2 linked regions of the Daphnia pulex genome follow. The protein of the gene in region 1 binds, or shares a complex with, the protein of each later gene. Links are inferred from orthologs where the notes say so. Each region holds a gene or a part of one and is shown on either strand. Other genes may lie near its edges.

Region 1 (3,769 bases):
ACTTCCACGCACGCTGCAGGTGTTGGTAGGAAGCTATCCCATCGCCCACCTACGAGAGCCTTACACAGCTGTTGGTTACGTTGGCAAGTATTTGAATTTGCCGGAATTGCTCAAGATGGGCCATCCTAGTGGCGAGAAAGCAACAGAAGGTCAAGAATGGTCGGCCTACGATATCTGCGAAGGATGGGCTATCAAACGAGGTTTCATGACCAAACGGGCTGCCCGACCCGACGTGGCTCGTTCTGCCAACCATCTTCTAAGACTAATATTGGAGGGGAGAATCACTTTGTACTTGCGGCCACCCAACTATAAAGCGGAAGAGTCGAAATGGCAGTCACACCCGGATGTAGCCGAAATTACCAACATTCAAGCACTCGGTCAAATGAAAGACGATGGTTGGCTGGAAGCAGCCGCAGAGGTGGTTGAAGAGGAAGATTCTAATCAAGAGAGTGAAGAAGAAGAAGATGATGAAAGCGAGGAAGAGCAAGTCCCTGCGTCTTCGAATAAATTTGCTTTACTGGAAGATGATGATTAAAATGTATCAGATGTGTGAGATATATATAACTGAATCACAAATCAACGTCGTTTATTTGAAAGAGCACTAGTTGGAACGCTTTTGTTTCTATAACATCGGTTCACATCGCCGTGGTTCCAAAGTAAGATGAGAGCCACTGAGCAAGGAAGAGAAAATAATTCATTTTATAGAGTCGATCCGCTTACAAAATTTTTCCCACAAGTTCCACAAAGTAAAACTCCCCGACATTATTATATCTAACTAACCCCCCCGCAATTCAGAAGAAATGAATTTGTCGGTTGTTCCGGTAATGTATGACGACTTCCAGATTTGAATTTTGTTAGGTAATATGTCAAGAAAAAAAGCAAACAGGATAAGAGGTTGAATTTAGAGTATTTCACACACCATTAAATTCAACCCCTGGTAAAGAGCAGACACATTAAATATAGATGAAGAAAAAGGCCGAATGGAAATGCCATGCACATTCTCTCAGATTGCCAAGTATAAGAAATCAGATTGATCTAATTTCGCATTTTACTAATTTCTGTACAGAAAAATCACAACGGGTCATCGACGTGTCCCTTCTAATGTAAAAAAAAAAGAGCCCTGAAGCTCCAATTGGCCCCGAGAATGTGAAAGGCAAGTTCAATGCCACATGAAAAGTTCTGAAAAAGGTAAAGGGATGAAAGAGAGAAGTAATTACACATGGGAATTTCATACATACACTTGCGCGCACACACGCTCTTTTCCGCACACACACACACACACACACAGTTTAAAAAAAAAAAATGTTTTCAAGTCGCTTAATGTTGGGTCATACCCCCACCAAAGGGCTGCTCTCTTGTCTATCTTCGTCGAACTGCCTTGCGCATTTTCCGGGCTCCACCTGCGCTGCCGGTGTTGTCAAAAGGGTTGGCTCCAGGAAAACCCGCAGCGAACCCGGGAGACGGAGCATCAGGAGGATTAAACGTCGCAGCCGGTGGAAAATTGAAACCCGAATTGACGGCTGGTGGAGCGGCATTCATGCCAAACTGAAAGAGGCCGGGCGGTTGTTGAGGCGGAGCAGCGGGGGCAGGAGCAGCAGCAGACCCACTAAAATTGAAACTAGATGACGCAGTGAAGGCGGATGGAGCAGAAGCCGATGGGGCACTGAATGAAAAAGGTGCAGCAGCAGCAGCCCCAAAACCTGTCGGTTGTAATGAACCAAACGGAGACGATACTGCGGCTCCAAATGCAGGAGTAGAAGATGGTGTGGCATTGAATCCTGAAAACGGAGCCGACGTGGTCTTGGGAGCACCAGTACCGAAAGTTCCAAAAGTAGGAGCAGCGACCGTTGAAGGTGTAGTTTGCTGGGAAGTTGCAAAGTTAAACTGCATTTTGGGTGCCTCTGAAGGAGTCGTGACCGGAGTGGCAACGTTTGAAGATCCAAAAGCAAATGACGATGGGACGGACGTTGTTGAAGCACCAAACCCGAATCCACCACTACTAGCGGGTTTGGTGGCATCTTTAGGAAATTGATACGCTGGGGGAGCAGGTGATCCGAAATTGATGAACGATGCGGTCGTAGTCTGTGGCGTTCCAAACGAAAAAGACATAGACGGCGCAGCGGCCGTAGACGTGCTAGTCGTAGGCGTAGCTCCCGTACCTGAACCGAATGGAAAAAGGGAGCTAGAGCTTGCCGGAACAGCCGATCCCAAGGTAGATTTCGTGGTAGTAGTAGGTAAACTGAAACTGGGGGGAGCAGCCGTCATTCCAAATGCCGTGGGGGCGACGGCCGTTGCAGTTTGTGAACCAAAAGTTGGGAGAGATGTTGTAGAGGTCGATAGACCGAAAGCAATCGACGACGCAGTAGTAGTAGGTAATCCAAAAGTGGAAGGAGCAGGTGCTGAAGTTGTGATGCCAAAGGGCGGGCTCGTAGACGTTGCGACAGTTGTTGAAGCACCGAAAGTTGGTGCCGATGAAACTGAAGCACCAAATACTGTTGGGCCACCAAAATTGAAAGACGGCGCAGTAGCCGGTTTGAATAGCGATAGAGAAGGAGTCGACGTCGCACCTCCAGTGAAGCTAAACGGAGTTGATGTGGTGGTAGTAGTAGGTATCGACGATGTACTTTTGGGAATCTGCGACTCTTTTTCGGTGGCCTCACCAAAATTGAAGGTTGGCTTTTCTGTCGATGTCTCTGGTTTGCCAAACGCAAATGTAGGCTTTGTTTGTTCCGTTGCTCCAAAAGAAAATGAGGATGCCGAACTGACAGGAGCCTGTTTAATGTCCGATGGGGCCGCGGGTTTCTTCCCGAGAATATCCATCACGCTGCCGGTTTCCAGTAAAGACACCTTCGAGTCAGGAACTGCAGGTGCAAAGCTAAAAATGGGACTCGATTTAGAGGCTGACGATGTGGTTGTCGGTGCAACATTGAACGCTGCTGGATTGGATAGGACCGAAGTTTTGAATTGTGAATCCGCCACTGTTTTTTTCTCATCGTCTGTCGCCAAGTCCGTCTGACGCCCAAACACAATTGGTTCTTCAGCTTTCTGTGTTGGCTCTTTTGGTTTGATTTGGAATAATTCGATGGGTCCTGTGTTTTCAGAAGCTACAGGCGCAGTAGAAGTGATAGCTTTGGTTTCTTCTGGTTTCTTCTCAATTCCAAATTTAAATCCACCGCTTGTTTCTTCCGTTTTCTTGCTTGGTTCAATCGATGTACCAAATTTAAAGCCTGCTTTTTCAGGAATTTTACTGGGTTCAACGAATTCAACTACTGATTCGCTAGAAGACGCTTCTATTTTCTTAGAGGGTTCTATCACATTTCCAAACTTGAATCCAGGGGTTACACTTTTATCTTTCAATACTTCAATGCTGGCGCCAAATTTGAATCCTGAAGAAGAAGAAGAACTTTCTTCCTTTTCGCTAGAAGTCCCAAAAGAAAACCCTTTTGTTTGGGTCAAAGTTGACGATTCCGTTCCAAACTTGGGAGCTGTTTGTTGTCCAGGTTGAATGCCGAATTTAAAGGTTGAAACCGAACTGGGTTTAACTGCAGGCTTGGATCCCGGGCGTGCTTCGTCGCAAGATTTGCATCGATCGTCTTTATCAGCGTTCCTGATCATACACACAGAACATTCCCATTGAGCGGCGGTCATTTTAAATTGATCACCGAATCCTTTTGTTGGAGGCGCAACAGGAGCAGCAGCAGCAGCAGGAGCAATAGGCATTGCTTTTACTGCATTGGGGGCTGGAGATTCGCATGCCACACACGAAGAT
Region 2 (4,227 bases), on another chromosome or scaffold:
TGTTTTTTTTTTCTTACTCTAACCACACTCAAATTACATAATTCAATTTGCACGGTATGAAATTAAAAAAAGAAACTGTGCTATACAGTCCTTATCAAGTCCAGTCATAAAAAAAACAAAAAAAAACAAAACATTTAATTTGGTACACGAACGACAGCCAGAAAATTTGTTGGAAAACTATTTAAAGAAGAAACACAATATGGATGTATTCAAATTTCCCTCTTAAAGTGGATTAATACCACGCAGTAAATTCGAAGTGGAAAAGACAATTTCATCCCATTAATCACAAACAGTTTGTTGTACAAAACATTTCGCCAAATTTCGACTTAATGCTAAAGTTATTAACATTGTTTTATCAGAATTGAGTTGGCAGTTTGGATGGGGGTTGATTTCAGCATCATCTTGAAACGAAGACGTCAACTCCTGTAGACTTTGCATTAATTCGTAAGTTTGTTCTGAAGTGAAAACTGGCGGATTTGTTTCTAATAATGGTAGTGCGTCCATGAGCAAAACGGTCCAAAAGCTGAAAACGAAATTTCAATAATTATTAGGCAGCTGCAATTATGATAACATGGTTAGTGGTTAGGCTACTTACTATTTCGGTGCAATCCGTGATGAGATTAAAGAGATCAAAAGGCCAGCTGCTGAATGAAAATCGTTTGAATTGTAAAGACGATGAAACTCGCGATATTTCCCAAGGAAAGCCAATCGATCGCTGGCAAGAAGTCCAGCACCCAGTGAGTCTAGCAAGTCCGTCGAAGTAAAATCTGAATCTTGAAGGTAACTCTTCAGAACAGCATCGGCGGCATAGGTAGCAAGAGGAGCGTCTTGCGCCTTAACAGCCCAAGCGACTGCCGCACCAAGTCGTCCATTGGCCAAGGCCCGTCGACCCATTACACGACAGACGGAAGTTACCACTGATGTTAGTTTTCTTCGCTCGGCAAGTGAAATTATTTTGGTTGCCTTCATTTCCGACTGGCACGGAAGTCGAGTGAGCAAGTGTTCCAGAGTCGCAGAACCAACATTAGGGCAATGGTCAAGATAGAGAACACCAACCGACCACAAGGATTGGTGGCTAAATAAGCAAATCGAGTAGTCACGAAGCAAAGTTTCTCTCAGCTGTAGTGAGTTAATGTCTTCGAACGACTGAAGTGCTCCGGCGTGATACAATAAATCAGCGAGATGTGCCGTAAACCAAGAATTATCCAATACTCCTTGCATTTCTCCAATCACCTGTGACAACAAATTTGAACAGATATAAAACGTTTCCAGTTAATTATGTTGGTAGTGTCTTGATACTTGCATGAACTCTTATCAAACTTGCTTAAAACTCTTATCCATTGATAACAGCGATACTCACTTTACGCGTGTCGCGACGAAGAACGGCCAAAAGTGTTGCATCTAGTGACGTCAAATCATCTAATCCGATTAAGGAAGCAAAAAACTGTTCGGCTTCATCTCCCAAAGATAACGTTCCAATTGTGGGTTGCGTGAACGTTAACTGAGTAATCATTCGTTGATACCAAGTTTCGAAATGATCGCCAACTTTTTCAAATGCTTCTTCTTTGCCACATAGTATCTTTATCGTAAGTAAATAGAAAGTTTATGTAAGTTAGACAAAAGACATACAACATAAACTAATGAAAATAAAAATGGGAATTAAGAGATCATTATATATAAAACATTATATACCTCCATTAGAAGTTCTAAATCTTTTGATTCGAAGAAATCTCCAGCTTGAGTGCGAGCCTCACATTCTTCTTTCCAATGATTCCATCTGAAGGTAAACTCTGGAGCAGAAACAGTTGAGTTGGCCTAAATAGAACAGAAATACTTAGGAGATAGAAAAATTGTTAATCTATCTAAATTACAAGAACTTTCTTACACTAAAGACTGGCATTTTCTTCAGCAACTCATATGCACTCTGAAAAGCTTCACTCTGGAAATCAGGATGAATTCTTAACAGTTTGGTAGCACTTTCTAAGCGTAACTGAAACACTAGTCCATAGAGAGCTTTCCAATAGCTTTCATGGAGTCCAGGATTTGGTGATGCTAAAACTGTACCAGTTTCTTCTACTGCATTTGGAAAATGAATACGAATCCATTCTAATAGGTGTGGCAGAATTCCAAGTGGGTTCTCAAGATACAGAATTTCACACAAATTCCACACCAACTCAGCTTTGTAAAATATTTCACTCATTTCTTGAAGTGCTTGATTAGATTCAACACTGTTAGCAAGATCTGCTGCTTGGTTCAAATCTTCAATGCATGCATTCATTATACAACGATACTGATGACTGGATTTAATTAACTCAGATGAGCTGATTTGGCCATCTGTGCCAGCCTTAATTTGTAAAGAAGTAAATGCTCCACAGGATTCATTGACCAGCTTGCGAACAAAAGGATTGTACAAGGTTCGCTCCCAAGAAATTGTATAAAGCTTCTTCTTACAAGTCTGGGGACTAACTGGACCTGTCATTGAGAAAAACTTAGTAGGAGTTTTTTGGCTAACTTCCAGAAAGAACTTACCAGAGGTGATCGACTTGGAAAATTCTGTTGGAAATACAGCCAAGCTGTTACCATAACCCCAAGAATGCCCAACATCTTTGTTGTATGCAAATAGAGGATCTTGTATTCCCTAAAACAAAGAAAGTTTGGTTACAAATATGTATACCATGAACAATTCGAAATTATTATTACAATAGGTTCAAGCATTCTGTAAAATGCGTGAAAATCACGTCACAAATCGTAATTGTGTGTAGGATTCAGAAGGATTTCAACTAACAGTCAGAACTCGTAACGAGTACTTTTTTGAAATATTTCTAATCTGTCGTCTGCTGCTTCGGTTTTACACCATACTGCAATGGCCATGGTTACGGCGGTAACTATGACCTGTGCTGCCGAATGTCGATAGCGGAAATTTCAATTTTCGTGGCTGCTTGTTTGTTGACAAAATATCATAGTCTACTTGATCTTATTAGGTGATGTTATATTGCTGTTTCATTAATACTTTCAAGTTGTTTATCGCTTTTCACCTGAAGAATTTATTTGATCCATATTAAAATATCCGTTTCAACAAAGTTTTTGCTATGAACATTGCCGTTTGTTCAGTAAGACAGTTTTGTTCGTCTTCAACATGCTTTAAAAAAGTGCCCGATCGGCTAAAGGGCCGCAGTAAAAGTTCTCAAGAATGGCTAACTCGGCAAATGAATGACGAGTATGTTCTTAAAGCCAAAATGGAAAATTATAGGTAGTAATTTTCAAATAAAAATTATGATTTCAATATTTTCAATTAACAGGCTATAGCTTCAGTTTAATTGTTGTCTAATATTTACTACTTCTTATTAACCAAGAAAGAGCTAGAAGTGCCTTTAAATTGATTGAAATTGATGACAAACACAAATTCCTTAAACCTGGAGATGTGGTTGTAGAATGTGGCGCTGCACCTGGTGCTTGGACACAAGTATGTGTAAAACGAATTAATGCAACAGGAAAAGGTAGATTGAATTGTTTAACTATTTAGCCTAATTAAAATGACACTAGAATGTTTATGGATTTCATGCAGTGTCTTCTCAGCTTAAAGGAAAGCATGTAGCAGTTGATCTTCAACCAATGTAAAAGGGCTGCAAAGTTTTGGTACCCTTAGTTCACTAACATTATTCAATTTTATTCTTTCAGGTACCCAATTGAAGGAGCTGTAATCTTGGCTCCATTAGATTTCACAAAAAGTTTGTCCCAGACCAGAATAACAGAAATACTTGGTGGGCAACTTGCTAATGCAGTCCTAAGTGATATGGTAGGGCTGATTTTATTTCAGTTTTTTTTTACCTTAAATTATTTCAATTAATATTTGCTAATTAAATTTAGGCTCCTGCAGCATCGGGTATACGAGATTTGGATCAAGATAGGATATTAGAATTAGCATATTCAGTGCTGCGTTACGCGCAACAAATCTCTATGGACGGAGCTACGCTATTGATAAAATTATGGGCAGGAGGAAGAATCAAACAACTGGAGAATGAGATTGCATTACACTATTCTCAAGTCAAAGTTGTGAAACCACCTAGTAGTAGACAGGATTCAGCTGAAATGTTTATACTAGCTAGTAATTTCAAGAAAAATACATAGTAATTATTTAACTACTTACTTTGCTTTATTCACATTGAAGTCTACTGAAATTTTGCTTCATCCATGTATTCAATTCACCTTAGTTACATCACTGACTCT

The links.
Region 2: nuclear pore complex protein Nup153-like (region 1) and nuclear pore complex protein Nup85-like share a complex: the UniProt entries of both Drosophila melanogaster proteins name them as parts of the nuclear pore complex. The link is inferred for Daphnia pulex from reciprocal best matches to the Drosophila melanogaster genes Nup153 and Nup75.

What each region holds. Positions count from the first base shown.
Region 1 is NC_060021.1:248,825-252,593, forward strand, and holds the end of nuclear pore complex protein Nup153-like, read right to left. Parts: coding exon 1,360-3,769; 3' UTR 570-1,359; downstream 1-569. Other genes in the region: guanine nucleotide-binding protein-like 1, read left to right, coding at 1-535. UniProt on the Drosophila melanogaster protein: Component of the nuclear pore complex (NPC), a complex required for the trafficking across the nuclear envelope. Functions as a scaffolding element in the nuclear phase of the NPC.
Region 2 is NC_060023.1:4,665,810-4,670,036, reverse strand, and holds nuclear pore complex protein Nup85-like, read right to left. Parts: upstream 2,858-4,227; 5' UTR 2,716-2,857; coding exon 2,701-2,715; intron 2,639-2,700; coding exon 2,530-2,638; intron 2,473-2,529; coding exon 1,886-2,472; intron 1,816-1,885; coding exon 1,693-1,815; intron 1,580-1,692; coding exon 1,361-1,579; intron 1,234-1,360; coding exon 596-1,233; intron 524-595; coding exon 280-523; 3' UTR 181-279; downstream 1-180. Other genes in the region: rRNA methyltransferase 2, mitochondrial-like, read left to right, coding at 3,090-3,250, 3,358-3,497, 3,566-3,614, 3,679-3,796, 3,868-4,128. UniProt on the Drosophila melanogaster protein: Component of the nuclear pore complex (NPC) that seems to be required for NPC assembly and maintenance. Required for nuclear import of phosphorylated Mad via importin msk.